Mus musculus: one gene and its partners. The protein of the gene in region 3 purifies or fractionates together with the protein of the main gene of each other region. This does not show direct contact. Links are inferred from orthologs where the notes say so. Each region holds a gene or a part of one and is shown on either strand. Other genes may lie near its edges.

Region 1 (3,648 bases), about 46 Mb from region 3:
TCAGGACCCTCAAGTGCACATCCAGCCTCCCCCGGACCATGGCCACTCAAGGCAAAGTCTTGTTCTCCCTGTCCATCCAACCCCCGTACTGCCCCTTGTGTGGTCCCTCTGCCGCTGATGGGTCCTGAATAGATGCTGTCTGTGAGAAGCAACTGGTGTCAGTCTGCTATCCTAGGCAAACAGCAAGGACACTTTACTCTTTTGCCTTAGGGAGGTTCAGGCTGTTTACTGGGTTTCTCCTTGGTGGTCATGTCTGGTCTTAGCCCTTCTACAGGGCCCCTCATCTTTCTGATTCACTCACAGTGTCCAGCATCAGGGACGCCTCAGCCTGGACCTGAGCCACAGGGCCTGCAGTGACTACTCTGAGATGAGAGCCTCCCAGGGTTCCAACTCTCTGCCCTCCAGTGCCCGCCTTGGTAACTACCACTGGTGCTCGGGTTTTAGTACCCAGGGCTCTGGGTGGGCTGCCCACGTGACTCCTTTCCCTCAGCTCCCTCCTCTGGACGGCTGATATCCTGTGAGCTGTCCATCGTATCAATGTTTTCTGAGCTGGGGGAAATGTAACCCAGAGGGGGTGGGGTGGGGTTCTGTTGCCTGGTAGAGACCCTGGGAGAGGTCTTTAGGGATTCAGAGAGAAGATGGAACATCTGCTGCAGCAGCTAGGCGACTGTTGCATTTTGGGGCATGTGCTCCTGTTCTGGAACATTCCGGATCTGCTTCTCTGTAGTCCTCCATTGATTATTTCCCTCAGGGATATTCAACAGCCCCTGTGTGTCACTCATTGTGCCTACTGCTGAGTGGAGGTGAGGATCTAGGGCTGTGGTTTAGTCCCGAGGCTTGACACCGTGTCTCCTCCTGGAACAACAGGCTCTTCCAGTAACCTGCAGTTCAAGGCTGAGCGGATTAAGATCCCGCTAACACCAAGATATCCCCGGTCTGTCATGGGCTCTGACAGAGGTAAGAACTGGGCGTTCCCTCCTGTGCCTGCTGCCCCTGGGTCCCCTTCTAGTCATCTCTGTGGGCTGCTGAAAGATGACTGAGCCTAGCCCTCACCTGTTGCTGTGGGGACAGTAGGCAATGTGGAGACCTTCATCAGGGCCCCGGTCATAGGATGAAACCCACACAGCTTGTGTCTAGATGGCAGTCAGTCACGTGCACCCCTTCTCTCTTGGCAGGCTCACTGTCACATTCTGAATGTAGCACTCCTCCCCGGTCCCCGCTGAATATCGACACCCTGTCCTCCTGTAGCCAGCCTCAGACCACAGCCTCCACTTTACCCAGGATTGCGGTCAACCCCTCTTCCCATGGGGAGCGGAGGAAGGACAGGTGAGTGTAATGGACATCTGTGTCTGGGGTATCCCCGGGCACTCCATTTCTGCTCTGGTGATGGGGTAGTCCAGAGTGTCTGAGGCCTACTGTAGAAACAGTGGGTGCTGGAGACACAGCAGGTCCGATGTAGATGGCAGGAACAGAGCAAGGTGGGCTCTTCCCCCAAAGCAGTGACTAAGCAAGATGCTGGAGATGGTCTGGTGGTGACAGCAATGTGGAAGGGCTTGCTGCTTAGCTGCTTGCCAGGCCCGTTTACAACGCCACTCTAAGAGTCTCAGTTGCATGAGTGGTCCTACAATTAAGTCTGTTTCACAGCAGTGGGCTGGATGCAGACCACCTGCAGGAGCTGTGTGGATGCAAACTGACTGCACTGAACGGGGCTCATTCTTATCTCTTGGTCTTTGGCCCCCACGTATAGTTTGCTGTATCTTTGGTTCTTTTGCCCTGCCCCAAAGTTTATTTTATTTTACTTTTTTTTTTGGAGAAATGAAATGCGCACAGGGAAGTTGATCTCCGTGAGTTCCAAGATAGCCAAGTAAAAGCCTGTCTTACTACATAGTAAGACCCTGTCGCAAAAAAACAAACAAACAAACAAAAAACAAGAAAAAAATTACATAAATAAATAAAGCAGGTCATATTTAATTTGAAAATCTCAACTTGTGAGAAAAGTATTACCCCAAGAGCCCAGGGGAACAGGTGTATCGAACCCCTGGGGCCCTGTCCCAAGGCCTCAGGACCTAGGGCAGTCAGTGTTCAGGGTCCTTTGTGACAGGCACACATGAGAATGTAGAGGGATTTGCTTAGCTCGAGCTCTGGCTTCTCCAAATGATGTGTGTCTTCAGAAGTAGTAAGGGCCTTGTCACGTGTGTGACGCACCCATCATCAGCACCCTGGTTTGGGAGAGAGCCAGGTAGGTGTGAATGATTCCTACCCTGCCAGGGCTCCCAGAAAAGTCAGAGATGAGTGATGGGAAGATGGAAGAAGTAGACAGCTGCTACTCTCCCTTCAGATGCCGTTGCTCACAGTCTTTGTGAGGCCTTTGTCAAAATCTGCCCATGCATAGATAAGACAGCTTAGTTAGGGTTTCATTCTTGTGATGAGACACCATGACCAAGACAACTCTCATAAATATAAAAGCAAGCATTTAATTGGGGCTGGCTTACAGTTTCAGAGGTTTAGACATCATCATCATGGTGGGGTGCTGGAGGAACTGAGAGTTCTATACCTTGATCCAAAGGCAGCCAGGAGGAGACTCTGTTCCACAGTTGGGCAGAACTTGAGCACTAGGAATCCTCAAAGCCGGCCTGCACAGTGACATACACTTATACCAACAAGCCACACCTCCTATTAGTGCTATTTCCCATGGGCCAAACAATATATTTAAACCACCACACTGACATACTTGAATAAAAACAAACCCACTGACATAAACATGCATAATAGGTCACTAGGAGTTTCTCCTACCCAGTTTCTCTGTCTTTTCGTGTCAGGAAACCCTGATTCATAGGGTCATTTGGAAGTTTCTTGGGTGTGTGTGTGTCTGTCTGTCTGTCTGTGTCTGGCTATGTGTGTTTAAGTATCCATGTGTGTGTCTGTCTGTCTGTGTCAGTCTGTCTATATCTGGCTATGTGTGTATGTATCCATGTGTGTGTCTGTGAGTTTGTCTATGTATATGTCTGTGTGTCTGTGTCTATGTCTGTGTGTGTGTTGAGGTATGTGTACATGAGTGCAGGTGTGCCCTTGGAGGTCAGAAGAGGGTATCAGATCCTGTGACATTGGAGTTACAGGTGGTTGTGAGTGGTCCAACATGACTGCTGACCACTGAATCAGGTCCTGAAAGAGCAATACACATTATTAAGAGTGAAGGTAATCTCTCCAGCCCCAGCATCTTAGCTTTATTGTGACATTATTAGATTTGGTCACCCACGGTTTTTGTTTTTGTTTTTGTTTTTGTTTTTTTAAAGACAGGGTTTTTCTATGTAGCCCTGGCTGTCCTGGAACTCACTCTGTACACCAGTCTGTCCTCAGTCTCAGAGATCTGCCTGCCTTTGTCTCCCAAGTGCTGGGACTAAAGACATGCAGCACCACACCTTTACAAGCTAAGCACACTATGCTAATGTGGGCAGAGGCGGCTGTAGTCGTTGGATGAGGATGAACTTTTCATGGAGACTAGCCCTGCTCCCTTCTTGGTGTGAGTCTACTGCTCCATCTTTTTAGGCTGGGCTATGAGGATGGTCTTTAGATGGTTGTCTGTTTCGGGTCCTTGTAACTACCTGGCACCCTAATACATGAGCAATGGCAGAACTGACTGCAGAGCCA
Region 2 (3,748 bases), on a different chromosome or scaffold from region 3:
TCGCACATCCTCTGTTGTAGGCTTGCTCTTCATCACCCAATTTCATTATGTGCATTATAGGCAGCTTTACAGCTTTGTTTTCAGTTCGTCGGTAATAGTTTATCAATGTATTGAGAGCTATCAGAAATTTACCAGAGTTTGTCATAAAAGTTGAATATGCAACTGTTTAATTAGAACTAGGTAATTAGCAAACATCGTTAGTACAACTTATGTGATACGTTGTATGATTAATGTTAATAGTAGGATGTACATTTTATAGAATTCGCTGTAATCTGGTTTATCATCTCTATATTCCAATTTTTTTAAATTAAAGCTTTTTAGTTTTCAACCAATGATTTTATACTAACCTTTAATATTATGAAACACAGTAATGAATTCTCATTATTTACTTCTGCTGGGAATATTGCTCAGCTGGCTGAGTATGCACCAGGCCCTAGGTCCCTGCACCTAGAATACAGAGCCATGAAATTAACTCGTAAGGAAAAAAGAGGTAAGGTGTATTCCTACACGACATTCCCAAACGCGTGCATTCATCCTGAATTAAAGAGACAAGGTGCTTCCAACTTGAGATAGAGAAAGATTGAGAGGGGTAGTTTCCAATTCACAAGGCAAGGAAAAAACTACACACACCTATCCCACGAGATCCGCCAGGCGGGTGGTGGACGCCTTTTGCGATTCTGTTTTTGACATCTCTGAAGATGTCTATCCTGATCTTAGCAATGTCCCTCCACGCCCCGTTGGCGGCCGGGACTAAGATCCAGAAACCCGAGGCACCTGCGGCTCTGACCGAAACTACGCCGGCCGACCTTTCTCTCCAGCTAAACTAGATCTCCCTGACAGGCGGCCTGAGAGTCTCGCTTCGATGCCTAACAAACACTGGCTACGCGGACCCGACGCTCCGCAAAGGTGGGCGCTGCTGCAAGGGGGCGTCCGGCTCGGCAGTCAGTGTAGGAGACCCGCCAGCCCTGCCTCGCTCTGAGTCTGCGCACGCGCGCGGTGGTCATTGGTGGGGGCGACTAGCCTGCAACAAGACCTCAACCGGGATGAGCCTTGCCGCTTCCGGAAGGGGCGGGGCCTGGGTAGGACACGCCCCGGCACGCAGCAACCGAGGGGGTGTCCCGCCTTGCCGAGTTTCCGGCGCTCTCCCCCGCGTCCCGCGTCCCGTGGTCTCGCCCGCCCCCGCTGCCATGTTGGATTGTGCGGCTGCCGCCGCCGCCGCTGCCGCCGCCGCCGCCAGAGGACTGGAGGAGTAGGGAGTTTAGCGCAGCCGCCGGAGTGCTAGGACAACGACCATCCAGCCGGAGCTGAGCAGGGCGGGAGCCCGGAGCTTCCCTGTCGGCGCGCGGCCCGAGGGCGCCCGCCGTCATCTCCTTCCCTCGGCCTCCGCGCGCCGGAGGAGCGACGACGGGATGCTGCGGCTGTGACCGCCGGCTCGCGCCCCTGTCACCCAGAGTGGGACCCGAGTGCTCGCCCGCCGCCAGAAGTGACGACCCTGGACGCTCCACCCCACCGGCGACACCATGAGCTCGGGCCAGCAGCCCCCGCGGAGGGTCACCAACGTGGGCTCCCTGCTGCTCACCCCGCAAGAGAACGAGTCTCTCTTCTCCTTCCTCGGCAAGAAATGTGTGGTCAGTAGCCGAGACCCCCCTGTCGCCACCCCCCAACGTCTACTGGCGGGTTCGGGCTGGGGGGGAACGGGACTCAAGGGTAGGAGGGAGAAGGGGGGCAGGCTCGGCACGGCTGGGGTGCTGCTGCGGGCCAGGCCTCCAGCCTCCCGGGCCCTGGGGCTCCCCTCACCCAGCTCTCCGGGTGCAGGCCTGCCCGGCCCGGAGCCACCTCCCCCAGCTGCTGGAGAACAAGGGAGTGTCACCTCCATAGGCCTGCCCAGTAGCCCAGGTCCGCCGGGCCGGGCCGGGTCCGTGCCCTTGCTGCAGGTTCAAACTTTACTCTAGACCACAAGGGGATTTTGTTCGTGCATCAGCAGCTTAAGATCTCAGGACAGGATCCCAGCATTGGCCCTTGCTTCACTTCCCACTTCTGGATCTGGGTTATCTTCTTTAACAATGCTAGAGGTTTTAGGAATGAATAGATGGGGAAAGAAGCGAATTGGATTTTCGGTCCGCCTTAAGGATTCCGGGAGAGAATAAAGTGCAGTGCAGGTTCATGGACACTTAGGATCAGAGCAAGGGCAGGAAATGCGCCTGCTCCCAATTGCAAAAAACAAAAACAAAAAAACAAAAACGGGGTTTATTTCTCCAGCAGAAACTAGGCCTAGTTTCTGCTCTCCGCCCCACTGTGGGTTTTTCTTTTCCTCCCTGGCGTTGTGGGGTGGGGTGTAGGGTGCTGTTCGCTCCCAAGCCATGCGTAGGGAAGCGACAGTTTCTAATAGCTCACGGCCTTTGGGATCAAAAGTGGTTCTGAGTTTGGTGCTGTGAGGAGGCCCATTCCAACCCCAGATGGCGGATTGGGAGCAAGCAGTTCTGTGGGAAGGGGAATGGGTGTTATTGACGGAAGCATTCATTACGTTGGCTGCAGGCCTTTCTGGGGTGGGGAGGTTCTCTGGGTGAAGGCCTTATCTTGATCTTCCTGAGGTGACTGAGTTGAAAGGGGGATTGTTGGAATGCTAGCCGGCTCCCTTTCTGCCGTGTTTGCTAGCTCTCACAGAGCCTGTGCCTCTGGAACCCAGGAAACACCCAGAGAAGTTTCAGCCGAGCTGAACCATTTCATATCCTCCCTTGGCAATGTTGGAGATGTCAGAATCAGACTACACCTGCTGAAGAAGTTAAGAGGAGACAGTTTCTGGAAAGTTACCAGATTAATTGTTAACTTCATGATCTGACTGTTCATATCGACTTTGGGAAACCAAATCATTCCATCGGACTTAAGATGTATTTCTTGTTCTAAAATTTAGACTTTAAAGAACACTGCGTTCACTGACTAAAGTAGAAAACAGTGGTTCAAAAAAAGAAGAAAAAGAGTTTGGGAGAAAATTTACTTTAAAGATGAACCAAGTCTGTCCTCTATAGTTCTTTAAACAAATGAGAAAATGGAGCTCTTGGCCCCAAGTCACATAGTAATTTAGGAATGTAACTGGAACTATATGCCCAGTTACTTTGTACTTTCCACTACATCATGTTGTTTGGTGAGGATTTTGTTCCCCTTATTGATTTGTCTCTCAAAGTGGTGTTAAAGGAATAACTACTTCATTTTTTACATAAAATTAATAGAAATAAAATGTAAATTTCTTAAAGCAGCATTAATTTTTGCATAATTTTCAGTTTAGGGAAATCTTTTTATTTTATTTTTATTTTAATATGAGCTGCCTGCAAGCAGGGTAGAGGTCATCTTTGCTGGTCTAGTACCTTTAGTGTACAGTCTATCAAACATTAAGTAGCTCACTGTGTTCACATACCAGGCCCGTGAACTTCAGGCATGGCAGACATTCATTTGTGTTCTAGTATATGCGTTGCTCAGAGCTTACTGTAGTGTTTACCCAGGGTTTCAAGGAAATGACAGATGTGGGAGTATATTTCGATAGACAAAGATAACACGGCTCACTGTAAGCATAAGTGGGTTACTGAAATGGTTACAAGTAGTCAGTGCTCAATTTCTTTACATCATATATTATTAATCAACTTTACCTTTTGAATTGCAGTAACTTAAAACCACATTGTTGTTGCTTTCTTGTGAAAATTACTGTAAAATATGAAGCCTTTGGCTTAATAGAGAGCAATGTAAAATTGGTGTT
Region 3 (3,648 bases):
CTCCACAGGCTACATACCCACAAACCAGCCATCGTCACATTGCTGCATGACATCCACACGGTCCCCCTCTCGAAGTTCCAGCTCGTCCTCATTCTGGGGCCTGTACTGGTACATGGCCCGGTACCTGTGGGAAATGGCAGCATGGCAGCCAGAGGCCTCGGGCTCCTTCCCAGACCTGCTGGAAGTTCTGCAAAGAGCTGTCACTTCCAGTGCCCCGTTCCCATCACCTAAGCACCAAGAGACTAGCTCTACCTGGTAGTCTCTCCAACCTGTAGGTGAGGGGCAATGGTAGGACCCTGGATTAGTACTGCCTGCCAACAACTCCCTCCCAAGGCAAACCTCCCCAGCTGGTACTCACGGAGTCCAGTGTATCTCTGTGTTTGGGGAGGAGGGTCCCAGGTTTATGGGACGGCTGGTGGCTCGAGGATGGGACAGGGTTGGTCCAGGGGTATTGAGACTCTGGGGGTTCACGGGAAGAAAGAAGGGGCATGAGGAGGAGGTATGAGGTAGACGTAGTAGCTAGGGGTCCCACAGTCTCAGGAGTTGTTTTCATGCTTTTTCATCAAGCTCCCAGGCCCAAGAGGGTGGATCTGACTAGCTCACTTCAGAGGCACTTGGATGTGGGCCCAGGTCCCAAGCAATGTGAATGGCTGGACTTCTGAGTTCCAGCAAGGACAAACCAGGCCTCAGCAGGAGCCAGGAGCAGTTGTACCTGCTCAGAGAGGCGTGCTGGGTGAACATGTGGACCCAGGGCCAAGAGCACAGTGAAGGGCTGCCAACCACTTCTGCTCAAACCTACCTCATTAGTCTCCCACTGTGGGAACTGTTAGCTTTTTGATACAGGGAGACTAAACCCAAAGAGTACAAGCTCTATGCCTGTGGGCCATATAGCATGCAAATACCAGAGCCCTGATACCTAGTGCTGTACCTTGCTGAAGATCTACACTGAAAAAGTGACATCTTGGAGGGTCAGGTCCCCTAGCTGGGCCTGCCCATGCCTCCCTCCCTGAGCTGGAGGATCAAAGATCAGAACAGCCTTAAGGAGGTTAAGGCCAAAGCAAGACAGAGCTAGGCTAAGTTCTGCCGAGCTTCCCGCTTCTCCGGAAGCTGTCCAGGAAGGATTACCAGTGTGGACCAGTCAGAGGATAGGAAGGCAGTGTGAGAAGCAGGCCACCTCACCTGGGTTTGGGATCTGGGCTCCTGGAGGGTGATGGGGAAGGGAAAGGCGGAGCGTCGAGGGGAGGTTCGACCTCCCCAGTCAGTGGGGTCCACAGGTATTGAGGAGGGGTGGGAGTGGCTGCTTAGGTGAGCAGTGGTTGTCGGGTTAGGTGATGCAGGGAGCTGGGGACCATCATCACAAAGCCTGAGCCGGGGCTCTCGGTTTATCTGCACGTAGCTGGCAGGGAAGATGCCCTGGCGTCCAGTGCCAGTGATGCGCCCCTCATACCAATGTTCGTTCACCTTGCGGATCAGGCAGATGCGTTCTCCCTGAGGGGTCAGAGAGAAGTTCTTGTCAGTAGGGGTTTCCTGAGCATCACACACCTGAGGGTGGCTCACCCAGGTCACTTCATTCAAGCCTAACACTTTAACATGTATGAGAGATCAGGCTCAGAAAGGGTCAGCAGGTTATCTAAGCTAAAAAGAGAGGAGTCAGGAACAAGTAGAAGATTAACTCGCCCCATAGCAGGCAGCATTTGGATTTGGATCAGCTTTTTCCCCCCTGGCAAAGCCCACAACACTATCAATCCCTACCGACAATCGCTAATTACAAACCCCAATTACAATTCCCCAGTGCCAAGTCCAAGCTATGTGGCCTTGGGCAAGCTGCTCTGCCCCTCTAAGCTTGGTTTCCTTAAATGGGAAGACCAAACACTGTGTTGAGACCCAGAATCCAGCGTGGTCTTTTACATAGCAATGGACAGATCGTAGCATGGCGTCACAACTCAGTCCTGCCCTGACACACGTGTCCTGTGACCCTCTCCCAGGGCAGGCGGCCTTCTCAGGACAAGCTGATAGAGGTTGGCACAGAAGTGCCAGCATGTCAGCAGGCTACTCTAAGAAGGATGTCCCCACCCCACACTGTCCTGTCCTCTCCTTCCCAGCCACCCACCACCCCTTTTCTGCATATCTGTGGACCCAGTCTTTCCTAGGGTTACTCACTAGGCCTCCAACCCCAATTCAATCAAAGGAAGGCCAGTTCCTCATCGCACAGAAACTTTTCATACTTTACCATAATCTATAGCCCCAAACATGCTTGTGAGTAACATCCCAGAACCCACATACACACATGCATACATGTATGTACACACGTAGGGCCTCATGTTTGATACAGAGCCCTTTGCACACAAAACTTATTTCTAGTCCTTTTAAAATGTAGATTACGATCATCAACCAGGTGATTAAAGACACAACGGTAGGGTCAAGCCTGATGGCTCATACCATACTGTAATCCTAGTATTTGAGCAGCTGAGGTAGGAGGACTACGGCGAATTCCAGGCCGTCATGGCCTACACAGTGAATTCTAGGCCAGCCTGAATGACAGAGCAAGACATTGTTCATAACATTCTTTCAAAAGTAGAACATGTTGGCCAAGCCATGCAACAGGCCTATAACTCCAGCTATTTGAGAGGCTAAGGCAAGACTATCACAAGGTCAAGGCCTTGCGGCTGGAAAGATGCTCAGTAGTTAAGAGTATCTGGTGTTCTTGCAAAGGACCAGGAAGTCCATTCCCAGCACTCATATAGAGGCTCACAACCATCTGTTAACTTTTATTTCAGGGGCTTGGGGCTTACATCTGGCCTCCATAGGCACTGCATACATGTGGTACGTACATACATACACACAAGCAAAATACTCATTCGTGTTTTTAAAAAACGGTTCAAGGCCAGCCTGGACTATACAGTGAGTTCTAGGCCAGCCTGGGCTACAGAATGAGTTCAAGGCCAGCCTGGGTAACTTAGCAAGAGCCCCCCCCCCAACATTAAAAATAAAATGCTGTAATAGAGCACTTGCCCTGTGTGACAGGGACCCTTGGTTCAGTCACAAGTACTGGGGTTAAAGAATAAAAGATTGGGGGTAACCTATCCCGAGAAACTGGAAAAAAACTAAAATTCTGGGTACAGTTGACATTTTAAAAAAATATTCATTTCTTTCTGCAGGCTCCCCTTCGCCTTCCCCTGCCCCACTCTACCATGCCCTGACTGGCCTCACCTTTCGGAAGGACAGTTCTACCTCCAGGTCTCCCTTGAAGGTATACTGGGCTACTGCATCGCCATACTCCAGCACCTGGTATGTGGGCGGCTTGATGGGCTTGGGAATCTCATCGGCAGGCAGAACCTGAAGGGATGGTGTGAGCAAAGTTCAGACCAGGTAGCAATGGATACACACCCACACTCCCAGAAGAGGGAGCCATGCAGAGGACAACGTGGACAAGGCTGTCCCTGGTCAGATGTCACATCTACACACTGACCAGATACAGCCTAGCGGGTGGCAGTGTGAGTATTGGCAGGCACGGGTGAGAGGGGTCATCCAAGAAGGCTTCCTGGAGGAAGACTTTCCAGTGGACTGATGTGCAGTGGGACAGGCAAAAACAGGATGGTGAGTGCTAAGATAGAAGCCAGTCCAACTACAGAGCTACAGATGTGGGCC

What was found.
Region 1: the proteins of Sorbs3 (region 3) and Dlg5 purify together in Homo sapiens (co-immunoprecipitation; 3 studies listed by BioGRID and IntAct, with this or other methods). This does not show direct contact. The link is inferred for Mus musculus from reciprocal best matches to the Homo sapiens genes SORBS3 and DLG5.
Region 2: the proteins of Sorbs3 (region 3) and Wasl purify together in Homo sapiens (co-immunoprecipitation; 3 studies listed by BioGRID and IntAct, with this or other methods). This does not show direct contact. The link is inferred for Mus musculus from reciprocal best matches to the Homo sapiens genes SORBS3 and WASL.

Annotation. Positions count from the first base shown.
Region 1 is NC_000080.6:24,151,909-24,155,556, reverse strand, and holds part of Dlg5 (disks large homolog 5), read left to right. Parts: intron 1-303; coding exon 304-416; intron 417-867; coding exon 868-957; intron 958-1,175; coding exon 1,176-1,326; intron 1,327-3,648. UniProt on the Homo sapiens protein: Acts as a regulator of the Hippo signaling pathway.
Region 2 is NC_000072.6:24,662,416-24,666,163, reverse strand, and holds the start of Wasl (neural Wiskott-Aldrich syndrome protein), read left to right. Parts: upstream 1-1,168; 5' UTR 1,169-1,520; coding exon 1,521-1,628; intron 1,629-3,748. UniProt on the Homo sapiens protein: Regulates actin polymerization by stimulating the actin-nucleating activity of the Arp2/3 complex. Involved in various processes, such as mitosis and cytokinesis, via its role in the regulation of actin polymerization.
Region 3 is NC_000080.6:70,183,649-70,187,296, forward strand, and holds part of Sorbs3 (vinexin), read right to left. Parts: intron 3,337-3,648; coding exon 3,211-3,336; intron 1,489-3,210; coding exon 1,180-1,488; intron 460-1,179; coding exon 359-459; intron 125-358; coding exon 18-124; intron 1-17. UniProt on the Homo sapiens protein: Vinexin alpha isoform promotes up-regulation of actin stress fiber formation. Vinexin beta isoform plays a role in cell spreading and enhances the activation of JNK/SAPK in response to EGF stimulation by using its third SH3 domain.